Linked DNA regions of Oryzias latipes. The protein of the gene in region 1 interacts with the protein of each later gene in a pairwise test. Links are inferred from orthologs where the notes say so. Each region holds a gene or a part of one and is shown on either strand. Other genes may lie near its edges.

Region 1 (4,411 bases):
TTCCCTCAGGACTGATCCCATGCTCAGCACACAGCTGCTTCCAGAACTCGAACCCGACTGCAAAACGAAAACGGAGAATTAGTATTAGATTACATTCGTTTTTGACTAAACAGTTTCTAGTTTGAGAACACGCAGCTGTTCTGTGAATGACAGCTACTGTTACCTATACTATACTGTTTCTGGACACCATGTTAGCCGTTAGCTAGCCGGAATAGCATCATCACTGCGGTTATTTCCCACCAAAGAGATGTTCAGCTGAAAGGTCCAAGAACCATTTAAGAAGATTTAACCTAACTGTCTAGGTCGAATGGTGGAGAGTCGTCGAACAAAATATAAAGGAAACGGTTCAGAAACTTAACTTAAGGGTATGAAAAAAATGACCTACTTTGATTGCCACATTGTCCAAGCTGAAGAGTTATAATTTCCCGCGGCATGGTTAGTTGCTTTTTATTTTGCTAGCCTGTCTGCTAGCGAAATAATGAAAGCTAGCCCCCAGGTTACACCGATTTTCCCCTGACCAGCAGCGACAACAACAACCCGCTCGTTCCCGCTAACTGGCGTGCTGAATTCTTCTACGGATGTTCATGGGACAATGTTCACGCTCGGTGCTGCCCCCTAGTGTGTTGGAGTACAATACATTTTTTTTAAAGATGGTAATCTTCTCTTTCGAATTTGTTCTTTAAAAACAATTTATACCATTTTGGTTATAATCTTTTTGGGGCCATGCATTTTTTCCGGTTTGATTTTTCTCGTCAAATCGATAAGCACGTTATATTTTGTGCCACAAAGTGACCACAAGTTTAATTAATTCAAACAAAGTTTAGTAAACCCATATAGGCACTAAGTTTTTTAACAGTATTTTACAATATTTTTTCATTGACATGATATGTGTTTCTTGACCAAGCAAACCTTACTACTACCATCAATAGTAATAATAAATCGTCATAGGTTTTTGGTCCAACAAAACAGCATAGACAGATACACAAATTAGTTTCAGTAATCTTTTTTGACATGCATAAACATACATAAGTATAAAGAGGCTTATTTTACAAGGATTGAGGAAAAAAAATATGTCATATAAGAAGAGATTAAAAACAAACCCAATGAATCGTTTATTCCAGAGTTTTAATGAATTGTAGAAAGTCCCATATACATTTGTAGCAAGTCTGCTCTGCTTATCATAAAAGTAATTAAAAAAAGACAAGTATAAATGATTGTAATAAGAAAAAATATATATATATTTTTTTAAATAAATGAGCTTTACAGTTCATTTAAACATACGAAAATATGCTTGAGGTTTTGCCCCAGCCTGGGAAGTTAGTCTGCACTTTTGTACCTGAACGCACTGTGACGCAACTGCTTTCCTGAAATCTGATTGGATCAATCGACGCTGGGAATAGATACGCCATGTTGACATTTTCCGAAGCGACCACAAAATGTATTTTAGATATATATTTTATAATTAGTGTCAGGTTTCTCTGAAACTTTATTTTTAGACCTTGTATAATGTTGTTTTTAACGCTGTAAGAGAAATGTTGTAACATTAACATCAGTGCGGAGTTGTGGTCGCTCACTGTTAGCACTGATAGCCGTTAGCTTGTGTTCTTCTGTCACCGGCGGAGCCCCTCATCAAGCTGTTTACCGGTTTCCACTCAGCTTAATTCTCTCTTTTACAGACTGACAGTGTTCCACAGCAGACACAGTTTGATGGCGTACTCTGGAGCGATGGAAAGCGCCCCTATGGACGATCGTCCCGCGTCTCAGAGTTCAAGCAATTGCCTTCGAAGTCGACCATTCTCCAGCGAAAGAGACGCCCGAGTTCGGGTCGTGAAAGCAGAACTTCAGTCCAAACTGGGGCCCTACGAGCCCGTTCTGACCTACCTGCAGTCTCTCCTGGTGTGGGAGAGACCACTTCACAGCGCCCTGTTCTTTCTTGCTGTAAACACGGCGTTCTGGTGAGTTTGACAAATAAATACACTTTTTTAGAAATTTGTTTGTGATCATTTTCCTGTAAGATAAACTTTAAAACAGGTGAAAATGACAGCAAAGCAAGTAGATGACAGTAAAAGTGTTGCAATTGTCAGTAAAACATCAAACAGGTGGTTCAATAGCTCCAAAACTTGTTTGATTTGAGATATTAGTCCAGTATTTTTCACAAAGGATGTGTTTTGCAACAGACAGGCTTGAGAACTGTAACCTAGACTCTATTCTGTTGAAATATGGATGTTGTGAATTGCTAACTTAAAAATCAAAAGGTTAAATCCAAGATTTGAGCAGTAGCTTAACATTTTAAATGTCAAATATCAGGGTTAAAGTGTGCAGATCTGGCACAAGTTTGGGGTCTGTTAGTGTTCATTCTTGTTTAATCAGAAATCTCTGGAAAAATCTTGTTTATGAACACGTTTTTGACACATCATTTCTATTATTTTTGTTTTTTATCATGTACTCCATACTAAATATATCTTCGACCACGTTGAAAATGAATCTCTTAAATGATGAGTGTTTGGATTCTACATTGGAATAATAAAAGTAACCATGTTTCTTTAAAAACAAAAAGGGGTTTCCTTCCCAAAAAATATGCTCAAAAAACAACAAAAGGCTAATAGTTGTTGACCAGAAACGTCTTAATGGGATTAATCTGAGGATTGGCAGAATCCTGCAGCATTGTTGTTGCCAACAATTCTGTGAAAACCTGAGATCTGAAATTAGAGCAACAGAGACTCGTGTTTAGATCCCAGGCAGTCTTACTCAGCCAAAAACAAAGAGCAGTTTTTTCTGTTTTGTAGCTTAACAACTAGTTCTTTCAGTGGTTTTGTCGTTGATTCAAAACTTTATTTATGGGAAACCCCTCCTAACCAATGATCACTCCTTTTTTTTTTTTTTTACCATTAATTGAATTGTGCGCTTTTTTTTTCTTCTTTAAATTTGATTTAATTCTTTGCATAGTCTTAAGGAAACAGGCAGCTAAAGCGCTGTTATTTGCATGCTTCCGGTTCCAGGTTTTTTGCCTTTACATCGATGCGTCTGCTGTTCATCCTGGCCTCTTCGCTTGCTGTCCTTGTGTCTTTTGACACCTGGAGGAATAAAATCTGGCCAAGGATTAGAGGTGTGTTTTTCTCTTCAAATTGTGGTTCTTTATATTCAGAATGTCCTTTTTTTATGCTTGTTAAAATCTATGTTTACTAAATGCGCGAGTGGAACATCAATCGGCAAACGATAAAGAAAGAAAATGACCAAACTACAGTTTGGGGAACTTTGGAATCTTTCTAATCCACGTGTCTTCATACCTCTCAGTTGTAACGCTTTGTTTCTTTGCTCTTTACAGTCAGAAAACTGGATGAATCTGAAAATGAAAGGTGTGTTTCTGTTATTTCTTCTGCAGCATTCATTGTTCGCTAAAGTGCTTCAGTCCAACATGTCTGTTTCCGCAGCTGGGCCTTGGTGCAGCCCGGCATCCTAAGTGTACCAGAGCTTTGCCATCACCTGGCAGAGGCCTGGGTCAGCGGATCAGTTCTCATGTGCTTCATGGTTCAATTCAAACAACGAAACCCTGGCAATGTAAGGATTACCGCCCAGCACCATGTATTTAATCCTCTTATTCATGTGAACTGCTTCAGTTGATCCACCTGCATTCCCTCAATGAATATTACATGGGTGACGTGCTGTGCAGGCAGTGACTTCTATCTCTGTGTTCTTCTCTGGAGCAGTTCTGCGTTCTGACCTGCGGGTTGTTCACCTGTTTGGCCGTGGTTGGGTGCTACATTTCTGGATTGGTACTGTCCTACGCTGCATGTGAGTCCGAGCAGTTTTACCGGTCCTAACTACCGGTCACGCCCTGCTGCTACACTGTTGGCAGGAAACTCATTTTATGCCAAATGAAAAATATATGAGTGAAACCAGATCTGTGGGGCCCCGACACAAGGTTTGGCCTACGAAGTGATTAAAACAGGGAGGAGGAAGAGGAGGAGGAGGAGGAGGAGGAGAGGACAGGAATCTAAAGAGGTCAGGCGGACAGCAGGTTAATCTCCTAACCTGGAGCTGGTGTTAGACTGCAGAGGGCGGGCCAGTCCACAGCTGTCCGCCTGTCTGTATTCTCAAACCCAACATGTTTGTAGATCTTCATTGATTTTATAGAAAAAACAAAAGCAAAACACTTAAATATCACCATAAGTGTCATGACTTTCCTCCTCCCTCGTTGGCAGTGTTGGTCATCCTCCTGGCTCCTCTGGCAGCATACCATCGAGTCTTTCAGCATGCGTGCATGAAGTTGGAGCCAGTCCTGCAGCGGCTGGATTTCAGCATCCATGGATACATGATGTCAAAGCCCATCGATAATCAGTGTGAGTTTGACGCACACGTTTGTCTTTCAGATCTACGTTCACTGCATTGAACTGAAGTGACCCCATCTGAC
Region 2 (4,520 bases), on another chromosome or scaffold:
TAGAAGCATCTGCAGGTTTAAAGGAACCGATGTTTACCTCTCTATTGGTTTTCCGTTCAGACGGGAAGTCCTTGAACTTACTCTGGCATTCCCGGTTTTGTGCTTTTAGGAGAATCGGTCATGGACTCAGACTGCAGGAAAGATGGTCGGGGTGGGAGGGCTGGACGAGAATGGTGTGAAACTCTTTTTTTCTCTTGTTTCAGAGCATCCTCCAGTTTTACTCTCTGACCCGGCATCAGTTCCAGCTTGTTGGGAAGCTCTTTCTGCCGGAACACACAAACACAGATCATCTGCAAACTGTCTAGACATTACAGCAGTATTGTGGGAGACTGGAGCACCTTTTTATCAGAAAAAAAAACTACCAAAGGGTTTCTAGAAACCTTCATGATTATTGTAATAATTATTGGCTTTCAATAGCACTTTCTATTCCCCTTTACAAGGTAGAAGTTCCCCTAGTTTGTATGTTTTTAAGTGTATCTTTTCTTGAAGTACTGTGAGCCAAACTATCATCTAACCTTTAACCAACACATTTTTTTCTTCTGATTTCATAGTCAATCATTTATTACCAAAAAATGCAAAACATGTGCAGTTAAACCAGTTTGAACTTGGACTGTTGGCAGTAAATGTAACTTTATGTGTAGATATATATATATATGAGCATGTGTTACTTTGGCCATGGTCAAGATGTAGCCCCTCCACTCCTCCCCAGTGTCGGCATTCTCCATCTGCAGATGTATGCATGGAAAAAAAAAACACAGAAGTGATGGGGGAAAAAAAATAAATAAATAAAAAAGCTATTTAAAATTGACCCTAAAGTTCAATGAAATATTTCACAGTAACTGCAACAAACCTTTAGCTGCACCTCCTCTTTGGGCAGAGAGAGGATAAAGACAGTCTCCTCCTTCTTTTTGTAGGAAGACTCCAACTGCATGGTTTTCAGCTGTGACAGGTCCATCTTTTCAGTGTACTGTGATAATCGCAAGCATGAAAATGTTTTTGCTATTAATCAGGCTTTTTATAGTTTTACACTTAATTAAATCTTTTTTTTTACCGTTTACTGATCAGAAATGCTAAATAATCTGGGTGTTTTCTTACTGATTCCTGTGTGTCATCTGTGTACAGAAACAGAGAATCTCCTCTGAGCTCCACATAGTAGGGCTTGAAATCCTGAAAGTTGCAAAAACAATTTCAACTTGCTGTGGATGACCTTTAAACAGTGAGGGTGATTAAAAAATGTCACATGATAGAAGAACCAAGGGGTCCTCAGATCTCAAACATAGATAAATACTAAATTAACTACAAATGATGTAAAGTCTCTGTCATGAAAAAATGTATTGCATCTTCGTTTTGTCAGCCAGCTCTGGCCTTATGGTAGAGTGTCCGCCCTGAGACTGGAAGGATGTGAACTCCAGTCGAGGCTGAGTCAATCCAAAGACTAAAAAGGAGACTCAATGTTTTCTTGTTTGACACTCTGCATTATTGGAGGGTTAAACCACCAAATGGCTCCTGAGAGCGGCTGTGTCTGCAGCTCACCGCTCCCCCAGAGGATGGCGCAAATGCGCAGAACAAATTCCACACACCTACTGTAGGTGCAGCTGAAATGACTTTAACTATAGAAGGAAATTTTCAAACTATTCAGAATCCATTTTTTTCCACAAACAAGAAAATATTTTATTTCAAGTTTTAAGCTTCCATTGATGTTTTGTCTATATATATATATATATATATATATATATATATATATATATATATATATATATATATAAATCCTATATCCTAAAATCCTAAATTCCTTAACTCTGAATCTACTTGCAAGCAAAAACATTTGTGATTTTTTTGTTTTCTGAGCTGTATATAAAAATTCTGATATATAATGCATACTGTCATGTTAAAAAAACACGTCACTTTATCTCAGATAGCTAACTCTTGTGATTCAGGTTAATGTTTCAGCAACTAACAGGCCAATAATGTCTGCAAACAGGGAAAGCGGAACAACCGAACACTAAGTTTTCTTGCAGTTGTTCTATAAACTAAACTAAACTAATCAGACTGAAAAAGTGTTTGAGAACAAAAATGAGAACAATTATTGATGTGAAAGATATTGATGTAGATGTGTGTATCTTTGGTGTTTTTTTTTTTTTGTGGCAATAGGTAAAGACAGAATGACAAGGGTTGTGATTTATCTGAGTTTACAGTTACTGACTCTCTGGATCCAACATAGTCAAGATTATTTTTGAGCCTCAAAGCCAACAATTGAGGTACTTTAATTTATGTGCCATAACAATAGGTGGATTTCACAACTATAATCTGTTATCTAGACTGACATTAGCACATTTGTCTTTACTCCTACCTTATCTTTGGAGCGTTTCTTCTGCATGCGCCCTTGAAAGTAGAGAGGCAGAGCAGTGATGGTCTCCCTCCTTTTGTGGACAACCCTGCTGCTGAGCGACATTGTCCAGTTACTGTGTAATCCACAGGCTTCCTCTGTTTTTTACTGTTGCTCCGTTTACTCCTGTTTTTCTGAGCAGAACAGTCGTCACGAAGAGTTCGACTGATTCCTGGGAAAGGGTTGTCTCAACCGTTTTAGTTCTTATCTGAGTTGACCCGTGACTTGTAAGCCTCTGTTGATGAAATTGCCTCCTTTCCTATACTTTCTTGCACTGTAAGGACTGGGAAGGAGGAAATGCTGCTCTGATTTACGAACAAGGAAGTGGTGGCATGAATACTCCCAAATCAAGATCTCCTTTTGTACTTTGAACTACAGCAGAACTCAAGACACTGACTGTTTTTGCACCACCTACTCAAGCAACAAAATCGTGCACACACAAACACACTTTCCTGTTTCGGGTATTTAAGAGGACACGGGACACACTTTTTCAAATGGCTCCTCTGTTTTCAGACAAAAAAAAGAACGATATTAGGACCTAAAGTGTTGAAAGGATTTTCCTCCCAACGGTGTTAACTATCCCCATAAAATGTGACACATACAGTAACTCCAGCTCCAATCAGATTAATCATTACTTTCCTTTATCTTTTTTCAAAGTTGTCAAATTATTGACCTTTAGAGCATTGAAATAAAATCCTAAGTATTATCTTTGTTTCCTTATTGTGTTTAGCGGACTAAACCCTCCCTCCACCACTCACATCACATCACTTTGATTCAAGCCAAATTCAAATAATCTGACTTTTTCCACTTTATGTGGAGCTTTTTCTTCAATGCTACTGCCTGATATTCCACTTAAACCAGGGGTCTTCAGCCTTAAACAGTAAAAAAAAAGTAAAAGTAAAAAAATCTAGAAGGAGCCTAACTTTTACCCTTCAGGAAAATTTAATGCTGATTTGCTGGCATTGAATTGTGACTTTTAAAAACAAATGTGAAATTGTGTCCAGCAGGGACATTTTTGACATGAAAAAGTCATATATACAGTACAGACCCAAGTTTGGACACACCTTCCCATTCATTTGAATAAGAAGGTGTGTAAAAAACTTTTGGTCTGTACTGTATAAAGAGAAACTAGTATTTTCCTGAGATTTTGATTTTTACAATTTGGCAGAAGGTTGCATGACGTCCTGTTAAAATTAGATGCCTTGTGCCAAACAGGATCATCCCAGTGCAGCTCATGTTCTCCTAGACAACACAAGACACTAATGGCAGGTTCTCTTGTTCTCTGGTGAGCCGCCATCCTTTTTCCTACTTAATACTGCTGTTAACCCGAACATAAACAGGAATTTGCTGGTTTATGATCAAGGAGAAAAGCAACTCCCCTCTGGATAGCTACTAACCATGTTGTGCAGCATTAGATGATGTGTGTTTTCAACTGATAAAATAAACGGAGTAATCAGACTTTTTACGAAAGGTTTCCTAATGAAAATCTGTGTATTCCGGAGGCGGCGTATAGAGCAAACACGGGCTCTAGATGTTAGCAGGAATGCAAAAACCTTTATTTTACTTCGAGGTGCACCTCAGCATTAATTTATAAACTAAATCTGAATTGGATGCTGATTTAGTAACCCTTGCTTTGAAAATTTTGTATTATTCTATTTATCTTCAGCCACTATGGAGAGAAAAGAGCCACACGTGGCTCTGGAGCCTTATGTCGGAGACCCCTGATTTAATTGCTGGTGATCTGCATTAATTACTTTTTTCAAGTGCTTACTTATTAAGAAAAAACAATTCTCTTAATTTTTTTCTTCCTTACTCTTAAACTAGACACATACTGGCAAGCTTCAGAGACCCTAACATGGGGGGTGGGGTTATGGGATTGTGGGGGCGATGGTTCATTTGCTTGCATGGATGCAGACACCGCTGAGGACATGCTTTGTGTCAGTGCTGGTCCCTCTCAGCGGCTACCATCCTCCCATGAAATCCTTCATCCCAGATGAGATCCCAGAGAGGCGCACAGAAAGAAGAGGAACCAGACATTGTTCTTCATCACGGGGCCCCTTAATGGTGCTTCTTTTCAACCACTGCCTTAAGGAAAAAATCCAAAGATGCAAACAGACACATGTTGAACTAATGA

What was found.
Region 2: the proteins of retreg3 (region 1) and signal-transducing adaptor protein 1 interact in binary tests that used the Homo sapiens proteins (3 or more experiments, as listed by UniProt). The two-hybrid records come from large-scale screens. The link is inferred for Oryzias latipes from reciprocal best matches to the Homo sapiens genes RETREG3 and STAP1.

Annotation. Positions count from the first base shown.
Region 1 is NC_019866.2:6,743,463-6,747,873, forward strand, and holds the start of retreg3 (reticulophagy regulator 3), read left to right. Parts: upstream 1-1,356; 5' UTR 1,357-1,438; exon of another isoform or gene 1,439-1,676; 5' UTR 1,677-1,707; coding exon 1,708-1,955; intron 1,956-2,999; coding exon 3,000-3,106; intron 3,107-3,325; coding exon 3,326-3,356; intron 3,357-3,431; coding exon 3,432-3,558; intron 3,559-3,707; coding exon 3,708-3,792; intron 3,793-4,202; coding exon 4,203-4,340; intron 4,341-4,411. Other genes in the region: tubg1 (tubulin gamma-1 chain), read right to left, coding at 1-57, 386-434. UniProt on the Homo sapiens protein: Endoplasmic reticulum (ER)-anchored autophagy regulator which exists in an inactive state under basal conditions but is activated following cellular stress.
Region 2 is NC_019868.2:13,892,198-13,896,717, reverse strand, and holds the start of signal-transducing adaptor protein 1, read right to left. Parts: upstream 2,862-4,520; 5' UTR 2,453-2,861; coding exon 2,351-2,452; intron 1,168-2,350; coding exon 1,096-1,167; intron 968-1,095; coding exon 851-967; intron 726-850; coding exon 669-725; intron 264-668; coding exon 82-263; intron 10-81; coding exon 1-9. UniProt on the Homo sapiens protein: In BCR signaling, appears to function as a docking protein acting downstream of TEC and participates in a positive feedback loop by increasing the activity of TEC.